Coturnix japonica: one gene and its partners. The main gene of each other region encodes a partner of the protein of the gene in region 3 in a complex. Links are inferred from orthologs where the notes say so. Each region holds a gene or a part of one and is shown on either strand. Other genes may lie near its edges.

What was found.
Region 1: APBA1 (region 3) and LIN7C share a complex: the UniProt entries of both Homo sapiens proteins name them as parts of the brain-specific heterotrimeric complex. The link is inferred for Coturnix japonica from reciprocal best matches to the Homo sapiens genes APBA1 and LIN7C.
Region 2: APBA1 (region 3) and LIN7A share a complex: the UniProt entries of both Homo sapiens proteins name them as parts of the brain-specific heterotrimeric complex. The link is inferred for Coturnix japonica from reciprocal best matches to the Homo sapiens genes APBA1 and LIN7A.

The regions. Positions count from the first base shown.
Region 1 is NC_029520.1:3,029,645-3,033,292, reverse strand, and holds part of LIN7C (protein lin-7 homolog C), read left to right. Parts: intron 1-1,370; coding exon 1,371-1,489; intron 1,490-2,508; coding exon 2,509-2,580; intron 2,581-2,919; coding exon 2,920-3,129; intron 3,130-3,648. UniProt on the Homo sapiens protein: Plays a role in establishing and maintaining the asymmetric distribution of channels and receptors at the plasma membrane of polarized cells.
Region 2 is NC_029516.1:36,418,999-36,422,746, forward strand, and holds the start of LIN7A (protein lin-7 homolog A), read right to left. Parts: upstream 2,266-3,748; 5' UTR 2,187-2,265; coding exon 1,886-2,186; intron 1-1,885. UniProt on the Homo sapiens protein: Plays a role in establishing and maintaining the asymmetric distribution of channels and receptors at the plasma membrane of polarized cells.
Region 3 is NC_029547.1:31,216,902-31,220,649, reverse strand, and holds the start of APBA1 (amyloid-beta A4 precursor protein-binding family A member 1), read left to right. Parts: upstream 1-1,151; 5' UTR 1,152-1,304; intron 1,305-3,748. UniProt on the Homo sapiens protein: Putative function in synaptic vesicle exocytosis by binding to Munc18-1, an essential component of the synaptic vesicle exocytotic machinery. May modulate processing of the amyloid-beta precursor protein (APP) and hence formation of APP-beta.

The DNA of each region.
Region 1 (3,648 bases), on a different chromosome or scaffold from region 3:
GTATGCAGCAAACACAGCAGACTTGGAGTTAGCAATAGCCGGGGTTTCAAATGTGATGCGTATTTGCTTAGATACCTGATCCTCTTAACAAATTGAAAATGCTTCCTAAATAGTGAGGATGAACTTGAGCTCTCATCTGAAGCAATGCGTGCGACTGCAACTGTAATATTCGGGTGCTGTTCCATGAGTGATTTACATCCTGTCTGTGATACAAACACAGCTTTAACTGTGCTGGTGGATGACCAGTTCAAGAAGTTACATCATACCATCTTTAAATGACTCTAGCGGCTGCTATGAGTGTCTGCGAGATATCTAACTGATGCCTTACAGAAGTGGGCAGCATGAACTGTGGGTTGTCTTCTGTCAGTGCACCTCAATTTCGGAGTGTAACAAGATAGACATTGGTCTTGAAGTTTGTGGTGGCTGCTTGTCTATTTAGTGGCATTACAGCAGCACAGAAGATGTTCCACGTGAAAAATGATTCCCTGAAGGTTAATTATGGAAAAGAGGAAGTAATGTATTTAGGACATAATCATGCTCCAGACTTCATCTTCTAGAATGATCTATGCCTTATTTATGCGGTAGATTAATCACTGCTTCTGTCTGCCTTTCTGATAACGAAGATCATAATGTCTACCTGCTTTTCTGAGAGACTGTTCTACTGCTATTCATGGACTTAACGTGATTCAGAAGAATGGTCACTCTAGAAATGTAAGTGAGGAATATTAATCCTTGCTACTCTTGAAGAGCTGCCTGCAGAACGCCGCATAGCTTTGATGCCATGTTTGATGCCCATCTTGCTCGGTACTGGTCTGAAATCAAATTCTTCAGATGAAATTTTGGTTTCACTGATAGTTTTGGTCTTTCAGGACATGTCAAGAAATGAGGAAAAAATGTTGAGTTTGGGGATCTTTACTACAGAACACTCAGCAGAGATCGTGGAGGAATTTGGGTTCTTTTTCCTAGCGCTTTGATACATCAGGCACATTGTAGGTGGAGGAAGTAAGAAAGTATTTTCAAACTGCTATGAGGTTTAATCAAGTTTTTACCATTCCAGCTGCTGTTTGGCATCCAATTAATATAATTACAGACTACTCATGCCCAAGTCAGCCTTTTTTGTAGGGAAAACATTGGGTGTATTTCTGGTAAACTAGTTTTTGAATGTAAAAGGTATGTTAGTTTGCTTGGTGATACTATAGATTGCTTTGACAAAATGATAGCCATACATTACATAAATTACGGAGTTTTATGCATACAAAACAGTGCTACCGCATTAACTTTGTTTAAAAAGCAAAAGCAAACAAAGCCACCAGTAGGATCTTTTCAGGCATTGCTCATAATGAACACTTCATTTTTGTTTTTTTCTGTAGATATCTGCAGAGCAATTGAATTGCTGGAAAAATTACAGAGAAGTGGAGAAGTGCCACCGCAGAAACTACAGGCTTTGCAAAGGGTCCTTCAGAGTGAATTCTGTAATGCTGTAAGGGAGGTAAGTTAACTGTGTAAGCAATTAGCTTGCATTAAAAGTGGTACCTTGAAAAGTGGAAGTGTTAATGCACTGAACTTCAAAAAACTGAATTTGACTTATGGAGCTTTATAGAAGACGGCTTATTTTTTACAAGTTGAGAAGAAAACAGTTTAGGGGTACTATAGGTGTGTTGTATTAAACAGTATCTGATAAACAAATTACTTCTTGGAGGTTATTTGGAGGTTATCTAGCTGCCTTGCTGGCAGGTAGTGCCCTGTTATCCTGTTGGCTGGTAAGAACGGGCAAAGTATAAATTGCCTTTTCTTTTAAGCTAGATTGGCATCATAGCTTTGCACACCTCATCTTCGTTCCTGATGCTCTTTCAGTAATTTGAGATGATTGAATGCATCCTCCTGTTGGTGGCGGTGATGGTGCTACCACTGCTGATAACACCTGCAACAATTTGCAAGATCTGTTTGTGGACGTGGAAGTCCTCTTGATGTTTTCATCTTATGAAGGACTGCGTTTGTTGTGTTAGCTACCACTAACCCAGTTAGCATTAGTATTCTTATGGCCTTTGTGTTTTCAATAGCCTTTATTTTCATTATGTATTCAGTTGGTTGCATCAGGTGAAGGGAAATACAGATTTGATTGTTGGGTGAGCTTTGAAGATCCACCCTTGCATAATTTTTCATGCACCCTTATGGAAAAGTCCAATTAAATCAAATATGAGAAGTTAGTCACCCACATCTGCTGTCAGATGTTGTGGTGAGGTCTGTATACTTACTGAGTGAGAGGATTTGGGTTGAGACCTAGAATGTGTGTGGCTTATCTGAGCAGTAAAGATATTGAGAGAGTTGTTTCTTCATAGTATGGTAGATACTTTACTTGGCACCTTGCAGTGAATCAGGGAGTCATTTGCTAAAGGTGTTTGGTTTGGTTTTTTTCATGTATGCAGTTTTAAGTTGTAACTGATTGTTATGTTACCTAAGCAGAAAAATAACTCTTTTCACCGTGCTTAAGTTGTCTTATCTTTAAAGGTGTACGAACACGTATATGAAACTGTGGATATCAGCAGTAGCCCAGAAGTGAGAGCTAATGCAACAGCGAAGGTAAACGCCAAACTTGAGTAAAATGTGTTAATTTGTTACTTTAGAAGCAGAGGAAAGGTATTTAAAATCCAGAAATGTATTATCTAGATGTTTGGTCAAATAGATAAACATATGAGGTCATTAAAAGGGATAACAAAAGACATTTTTTAAAAGTTTTTTCCACTTATATTGTCTTCGTTGAGTTCTAATTTTTTTTTTAATCCCGATGTTGTTTAAGAAATTGATCTGATTATTCTTAATATTTTAGCACTTTAAGATGAAACTAATTTTTCAGCCTGCTCACTGTGTCAAGCTGAGGAGTTTGTAGTCGTGTAAATAGCAAGATCTTATTTTTTACAGGCCACTGTAGCTGCATTTGCTGCTAGTGAAGGTCATTCGCATCCCAGAGTGGTTGAACTGCCAAAAACCGAAGAAGGTCTTGGATTCAACATCATGGGAGGCAAAGAACAAAATTCTCCCATCTATATCTCCCGAATTATCCCTGGTGGTATAGCTGATAGGCACGGAGGCCTGAAACGTGGAGACCAGCTCCTTTCTGTAAACGGAGTGGTAGGAATTTTTTCACTTTCTATAGCAGTAACTACTTGTCTCCACTTGGGGGCATACGTAGAATATTCGTGGCACAAGCTTGAGGTTGTCTTTCGATCCTAGCAAAACTGCTTCTTATTGTCCTCTCAAGAACATCTTCCTTAGGTTTCTGAACCTAGTTCTGTGCAGTGAGAGTTCTTGGATTATGCTTTGGTTACATTTTTCAACTGGGATGGGTACTATTTATGTCAACGTTTCAAATTCTGAAAAGTTGTATAAATCTGGTAGGTCTTGTTCTGAAATAGTATTGAACTACCATTATGGCTTCCTGTTTTATCCAATTTGATGATGCAGGTTTTAACTTAGTTTTCTGCAGCTTCAAAGGTAAGTAGTAAATTATAATGCATGATGGTAGACTGAGCAGGGGCTCTTTGTCATTATCCCAGTAGGAGCACTACTGCTTAATGAAAGCTGTAGAAAGATGGAAAAACAAGGTGGTGTTATCTTCAGTTATCTTTACTTAAGTGCTATAAGCTTCAA
Region 2 (3,748 bases), on a different chromosome or scaffold from region 3:
GCAGGCCAGGTGCTGTATTTAAATCTATTTCTTCTTGCCTGTAGTTCCCTTTTGCACGTCACATTCTACCACTCCGTGATGCCATATCTCCTCACGCTACTGTCAGCCCTGGCTGACAATCAGGGAGTCCATAACACCAGCACCCCTGCCAAACATTTAGGCATATTCTGGACACAGACAACAGATGTTTACATTTAAATTTGGACTAATTTGCATTTTTGTGTATTGTGATTTTTTTTAAAGCACTGTGTTAGCGATGAAAAGAAACGCGTAATTCTGAAATAGTAATACTTTCCTTAGAAAAGCCAGGTTTGCTAATGGATTGCCATCTGTTCAGCTCTTTGCCAGGAAATAGATTTGTCCTGCTTACTGAAAACAGTATTAGGGTGAAACTGTAGATTACACAGTGGATTTCTGAACTGTTTAATTTCAAGCGCATGCCAATAACAAACGCTTTGTTATTTCAGTAAGAATAACTTGAAATTCTCCTTTTCTAAAAACGTTGAAATTAAAACTATTCAGCAAACTGTACTTAGAGTACAATAGGAAAAGGTTCATCAATAGAGGGTGTCAGGTACTGGAACAGCTTCCCCAGGACAGTGGTCAAGGCACTGAGCTGACTGAGTTCAAGAAGTATTTGGACAATGCTCTCAGACACAGGGTTTGATTTTGGGCGGTTGTGTGTGCAGCCAGGAGTTGGGCTCAATGATCCTTGCAGATCCCTTCCAACTCAGGATGTTCTGTGATTCTGTGAAACTCTGAAGACTGCTTTGCTCTCGTAAAGCTCCAGTAAAGGTCCCTGCACCATCTTTCTCACCTTGAAACCGGGTTCATCAGGCTTCTTTTGCATAGGATTTACAGGAAGATGCTCTCTATCTTGCTCTGAAAGCCTGTCTTAATCCTCTAGAAAGAGCATGTAAAAGAAAAAGCGGCACTGGCCTAAATCGTGCTTTCAAGAGTACAAGATTTATACATGTTCAGAGCCACTGGGCTCCTTGATGGAAGTTAAGAAAGATGCATCTGCAACTCAAGAAACTGTTTTGGGAGCTGTGTGACCTCTTTAACTCACAGAGCCACAGAAGCAAAACAAATCAGACATCAGGTTAAGTCCTTCTCCTCTGTGACCACAGAAACTAAACAGCATTTTTGCTCGGCCTTGCAAGCGGCGCAAATGCATCGCAAGGGAGCCGTCCAATTTTCACAGCCTGGAGGCGAAAACTGAATTTAAACAAAAGTTCACGATTTCAGCACCTCTTTTCATTACCTCGGTCAGGCTGCTGACACAAACTCAAGGCGAGCAAAACATCAGCCGCTCTCTCTCCGCGGACGGAGCAGCAGCCTGCAGGCATGCACAGCACCCCGGCAGGGTAGCATCACACGGAGTAATAGCATCATCACACGGAGTAATAGCATCATCACACGGAGTAATACCATCACACGGAGTAATACCATCACCGTCAGCTCACAACGCAGCACTCCCGCACCGACCCCAAACGCCGACACACGCTCCCCTTACAACCGGGCGCCCGCTCCGCCCGCCCCAAGCGCGGTGCCGTCTCCGGACAGGTGCGGATGTGCTGCGGCTCTCCAGCGGCAGCGAGGCAAAGAGAACCGAGCTCACGGCCGCGGGGCACCTGCGCGCAGCCCCAGCCCTCGCCGTGCAGCCCTACCAGCGTCCCCCGGCCGCTCCGCGCCGCCGGACAAACTTTCCTCTCCTCTCCTCGCTCCGGAGCCCCGCGGGGAGACCCTGCCCACCCACCCGCCGCCTCCAGCCCTTACGGCGCGGGGACGGGCGGGCCGTCACGGCAGCGCCCGCCGCCCGCCTCGCACGGAGCCCCGCGATGTTCCCTCGGTCGGGCCGGGGGGCGGCAGCCGCCGCTCTTACCTCTGTCCAGCGTGAGCGGCTGGACCGCGGTCAGTGTCGCCATGTCTGCGGCGGGGCTGGAGCCCGAGTGACGCGCGGCTCCGGCACCGGCGTGGAGCGAGGGGAAGGGCGGGGAGGAGGCTGGCAGGGAGAGGGGGCGGAGGAGGAGGGTGGCTCCGTGGGAGGAGGAGGAGGAAAAAGAGGAGGAGGAGGCGAGCGGGGCGGAGAGGGCGCCCAGCGGAGGGCGGCTCAACGTGGACGGGACTCCGCGGTGCATCGTGCGCAGGGCGGCCCGGCGGGGCCCGGCGCGGGCTGCCGGCATCGCTGCGGTGCGCACCGGGACCCGGCGGGAGGCCGCCGAGCTCGCCTCAGAGCGGACTCCCGGGGCTCACGGCCCTGAGGGACGGGCGGCGTCGGTGACAGCTTTCTGGGGCCGGGGGCGGCGGGCGAGGGGCGGTCCGTCTGTGGCCCCGCCGCCCGGGGGTGCCGCAGCGGAGCGAGGGCGGGGAGCGGCGCAGCGCCGCCTGCGGGAGCGCAGCCGGGAGCTGCGGGGAGAGCCCACGGCGGAGCCCCTCGCAGGGCTGCGCTGCACCGGGGCTTCCTCGCGCCGCCCTTCGGACGGCACTGCTGTAGTCAGCACCGTCTTCAGCCCGGAGCCGCGTATGGGCTTCTGCGTGCTCCGGGCCGTCCTCAGGGTATCGCTCGATATCTCCTAGAACGCGTCCCATACAGTTCCACAGCTCGGGCTTGAAAGGCATAAAGGGAGAGAGGTCGATCGTGAGTCGAGGTCACATCGTGCGGGTGGATGTGCTCAGTTTGTGCAGGCCTGAGCGCTCATCCTTCAAGCTGAGCTTAGCGGTGGAGCCGTGCAGGGCTGGTTGTGCTGGCCGTCCTTAGCCCGGAGCCCAAGGGCAGCCGTTCTGCCTCTCCAGAAAGGGACGTGCAGTTGTGCTGCCTTCCACTGTGAGCAAGTGTGCAGAGAAGTGACAGTGGAGACCTGAGCCCCCTTTGACTGCCGTCCTGTGCAGTACCTGCGTTGCTGCACTTGCCCAAGAAACGCCAAAACTGGGAAAACTTTAACCCAGAGAGGAATGTAGCACTCTGCCTCTCGTTTACTGGGGGCACAGCACAGGGAATGTGAAAATACAGCACAAGCAGACTGTGCATTGGTAACAGCTGTAATTGCCGGCGTATTTAAGCAGTAGTAGAGGTAGTTAGCTAGGGAAGCTGTGGAAATGTTGTCACTAAAAGTTTTAAGAGATTAAAAATACATATGGCAGTATTAAAATTAGAGAGAAAAAAAATCAAGAAACCAGCTCCTGTCAAACAGTTTTTAAGATCAAAATTAATGTGAGGATTTCTATTTTGTAGACTTTATATACTTGTGGAGCAGCTGGATCGACGTAAAGCCTAACAGTGCCTCTTACACAGTCACACTGCTGCACACTGGGTTCACCAACCTTAGAAGGGAAGAAATTCACGTTTGGAGCTGTAACAGTGTAATGTGACAACACTCGAACTGTTCTGATTGGTACACGTGTAAAATTATGTTTAAATAATATTAAAAGCAAGGTGCCAGGTTAATTAGTTGTTTTTCATAGGGAACGTCGTAACCCTTAGGCTTGCTCTTTTAATCTGCCATGTTGTCAACAGACTTCTTGAAGCAAAATGCAGCTATAACAGTAAATTTTCTATGAATATCTGTGTAACGCTAATGCCAAATATGTCGCCTTTTAGAAATACACAAGTTTAGCTAATCTACTGTTTGTGCTTGAACTGTGGAAAGCAAGAAGCTTATTCCAGCTTTATCCTTTTTTATCTACCCCTGGTCAGATTTCATGTGCTCTGCCACAGGGGCTAATTGGCACTCAGATGAGAGACTTG
Region 3 (3,748 bases):
AAACAAAACAAAACAAAACTGGAAGCCTCTTCTGTGTATGTTTTTAGGAGGCAGGGAACATTCCAAATGAATACTATTATCATAGGTGCTCAGAGCTCTGTCCAGCCTGGTCTTGAATGCTTCCAGAGATGGAGAACTGACCACCTCTCTGCGCAACCTGTTACAGTGCTTTACCACTCGTACTGTAAAAAACTTACTTATATCCAATCTGAATCTCCCCTCTTTCAGTTTGAAACCATTTCCCCTTGTCCTATCACAACAGACCCTGCTAAAGAGTCTGCCCCCTTCTTTCTTGCCGCCCCCTTTAGATACTGAAAGGCTACTATCAGATCTCCTTGGAGCTTTGTCTTCTCCAGGCTGAACAGTCCCAGCTCTCTCAGCCTGTCCTCATAGGAGAACTTATTTTAGTCATTACTACCTAGCCAATATTGCTTTAAATACCACACATGTAAGGCATTCTCTCAAGGACTTGAAGGAACAGCATGGAGCTGTGTTAGGAGAATGTCAGGCTGGGTGTTAAGGAATGGTTCTTCACCTTATGCTGGTGTGGTCTGTGGTTACAGCACCAAGCAGACAGAGTTCAAGGAGCATCCAGACAGCACTCCTAGCAATACATGGTCTAGGTTTCAGGTGGTCCTGCGTGGAGCCATGAACTGGGACTCGATGATCCTTAATGGTTCTCTTTGAATACCACGATATCCTCCGACTAATGCCACGTTTGTATGTGTGAACAGGGAATAAGCAGCTGCGTGCAGCGAGCCGCCCTGGTGAGCCCTCCCGGCAGGGCAGTGGGTGATGGGCCTGGCAGCGCCCCGCGGCCTGCCGGACGCCGCCGGGCGGATGCTCGATGCCGCCCGCAGCGCGCCCTGTCTCGGAGCTCTGCCCGCCGCTGGGCGGTAAGGGCTGCCCCGGGGCCTGCCGGGCAGCCACTGTTTCCCCCCGCGGCAGGGTCGGGCTCCGGGCCGGGCTCTCCCAGTCACCGGAGGCGTTCGGGGGACCCGCTGAGCGGACATGAGCCCGGCCCGCGGCCACCATGTCCTCGGCTCCCACCAGCGCAGCCCGTCATGGCGGCACCGCCCCGCACCGCCGCGGGACCAGGAGGGCGGCGGCCGACGCGCTGACGCGAAGGGCGGCGCGGAGCGGCGGGAGGGGCCGTGCCGGGCGGTGCTGGCGGCGGGGGCGGCGGCCGGAGGAAGATGGTGGCGGGAGGAGACGCTGCCTGCCGGGCTGTCCGCCCCGCGCTGCGCTGCCAGCCCCGCCGGAGCCGCCCTGCGTGGTGAGGAGGCGGCGCGGACCCGCACCAGGTGCGGAGGGGCCGGGCCGCGATCTGGGCGCGGGATCGGGACCCCGTTTGGCGGTGCCCATCGGCACGGCTACGGGAGGGGCCGCCCCTCCCTCGTGGGGGCTCCGCGAGCGAGGAGCGGCGGGCGGGTGCGGGCTGTGCAGCCGGCTCGGCGCTGTGCGTTCCGCTCGGGCCGAGCTGCGGGGCCGCCCCTCCTCCCCCGTGCGCCGTGCCCGGCGGCAGGGAGCGGCGGGCGGGCTGCGGTGCCCGGGGCTGCGGGTCGGGGGAGGCGGCGGGCCCGGATATGGCGGGGTTGCGGTGGCCCCGCGCGTTGCGGCTGTTTCTGGAAGGATCAGCGTTAGTAGGGACGGTCCGGGCAGCGCTGTGCTGTGCTGCCGCCCTCGTACGTAAGCCTGCCTCGTAGGAGATGCGGGAGCTCGGGCCTCGGCTGGGAAATCTGCAGCGTTTTTGCTCTCCCTCCTGCAGGGCTGTAGGATTGCAGTTGGTTTCAGACCCGGCTGCTCTCGCCGCTGCTGAGCAACCAGAGGGATGTCCGCCGGCTGTGCGTGCGCGGAGCTGCTGTGGGTGTAGGGCAGGCCGGGTACTGCGTTTCTGCTGCCCGGTGTGCGCCCATCGCGCTGTGCCCGCTGACGGGAGCTCGCCCCGTGCCGCAGCGATTTTGCGCCTGCTTGGCGGATGCGGCCTGCGGTCCCCAGCAGCTTGCCCTGGAAAATATCCCTGTCACAATACCTCAAGTTCTGCTGCATTGCTGTCAAATCCGAGACGGCTGCACCTGCCTCTGCAGCCCCGTGGCTGAAACAGGCAGCAGCACCCTGTTTTCCTAGACGCTGGTGCTGACAAAGAACCTGCTTGTTCTCCAGGTGTGTTACATCTTAGTGATGTGCAGATAACAAAAAGCAACGGACACATTCACATTTTTCCGTGTTAGGCAGTGGGGAGGAGCTGCCCAGCAGCTCAGTGCATGAAAGTGATGGGTGGCAGAAGGTTCTTTGGTGCATTAGTGCATATTTAAACCCAGAAACTGAGCGTCATGCAAGCTGTAGTGGGAGACCATAGAAAAGACAAGAGCAGAAAATGCGTCGTCGTGATGCACTTTGGGTAGGGTACTGTGCATGTTTAGTGGCTGAAATAAGAAACAGAGCAAAAAGCAGCTTGCCTCCCTCCCTTGGAACCGTGTAACCCAAGTTGGGGGATCTGAGAGATTTCAGGTTAACCTGATTTTCACAAAGTAATGGCAACTCAAGGTCGGCTGCGTGGTACGGGTCGTGCAGTTTATTGGTCTGAGTTTTTCTTGGGCGCTGTGAGTTGCATTTTGAAGCATTTGTCTTGCATTATAACACTGTCTTTACTTAAAATATAAATGCTTTTCAGACTGTTGAGCTGTTGCAGACAGAAGGCTGGCCCCTTACAAGACTGTGGAAATAGAGATAAGCACAGTATTGGTTATAAATGCATTTTAGTTGGTCAAGGAACTGGCTTCTGATTTCATTGATACCATTTTGAGCCACAGTCATGTACAGTGATGCACTCTTAAACTCAGAAAGCCTGCAGTATGAAAGCTGTGTCCATCTTTAAGGTACAGTTAGCTTTTGCTTCTTAGAAGCAGCTTCTCTACCAGCTGCATAAAAGACATGCAGGTACGAAAAAATTTTTGCTGAGTTTCTTGTTTTGTGCTTTTAATAGGTCGGTGAGATTGTTCATGTGCGGTATTTTAGTTACTTGGTTTGAGATTGTCTCAGCGTGCATTAGTATTTGTGGCAAACAAGACAGGGAAATGGAGCAGTAAGTCCAGAAATGTTGGCCAGGAAGGTTGGCACTGGGGTGTTACTCTGTCTGTGTACATTCAGGGTTAGTATCCAAACCAGCAATCCCTTCAAAAAAATACAATAAGCTTTGGAGTCATGAAGGAAAACCAAAGCAAGTGCTCAAGCTTTCTGCTTGTATCTAGTTGTCTCAACATTTAAAGATCTGATTCGGCATCTCTTTGCTCAGCACACAGATTGATGGCTATTGACAGTATCTGTTCTGGATTGATGCTAGATTATGAATTAGAAGAATCAGACCTTTTCTTTTCCCCTCTACCTCATCCCCCCCCAAATTAAAAAATATTAATAGGTTATATAATATTAACTTCAAACAGTGTAATAAACATTGCCCATAAGCAGTGCAGCTAGATTAATTGAGGCTTAACTTTGAACGAGATCCTATTACTGTCGATTTAAGTCAAGCATTGATGTTCTGGTAATGCATTTTTAAATGTGGTTCTCTCATTTTACGGAAGATGAAGATTTCTGCTTAATCAGAGATCTAGCAAGCAATCCTCTGCTCATTATTTCTAACAGATTGTGTGTAATACGTACTGTGTACAGGTTAAAGGTTTCTGTGGAACAGATTGATTGTTTTGCTTCATACTATTGACTGATTTGATAAGCCAGCTGCTCAGAG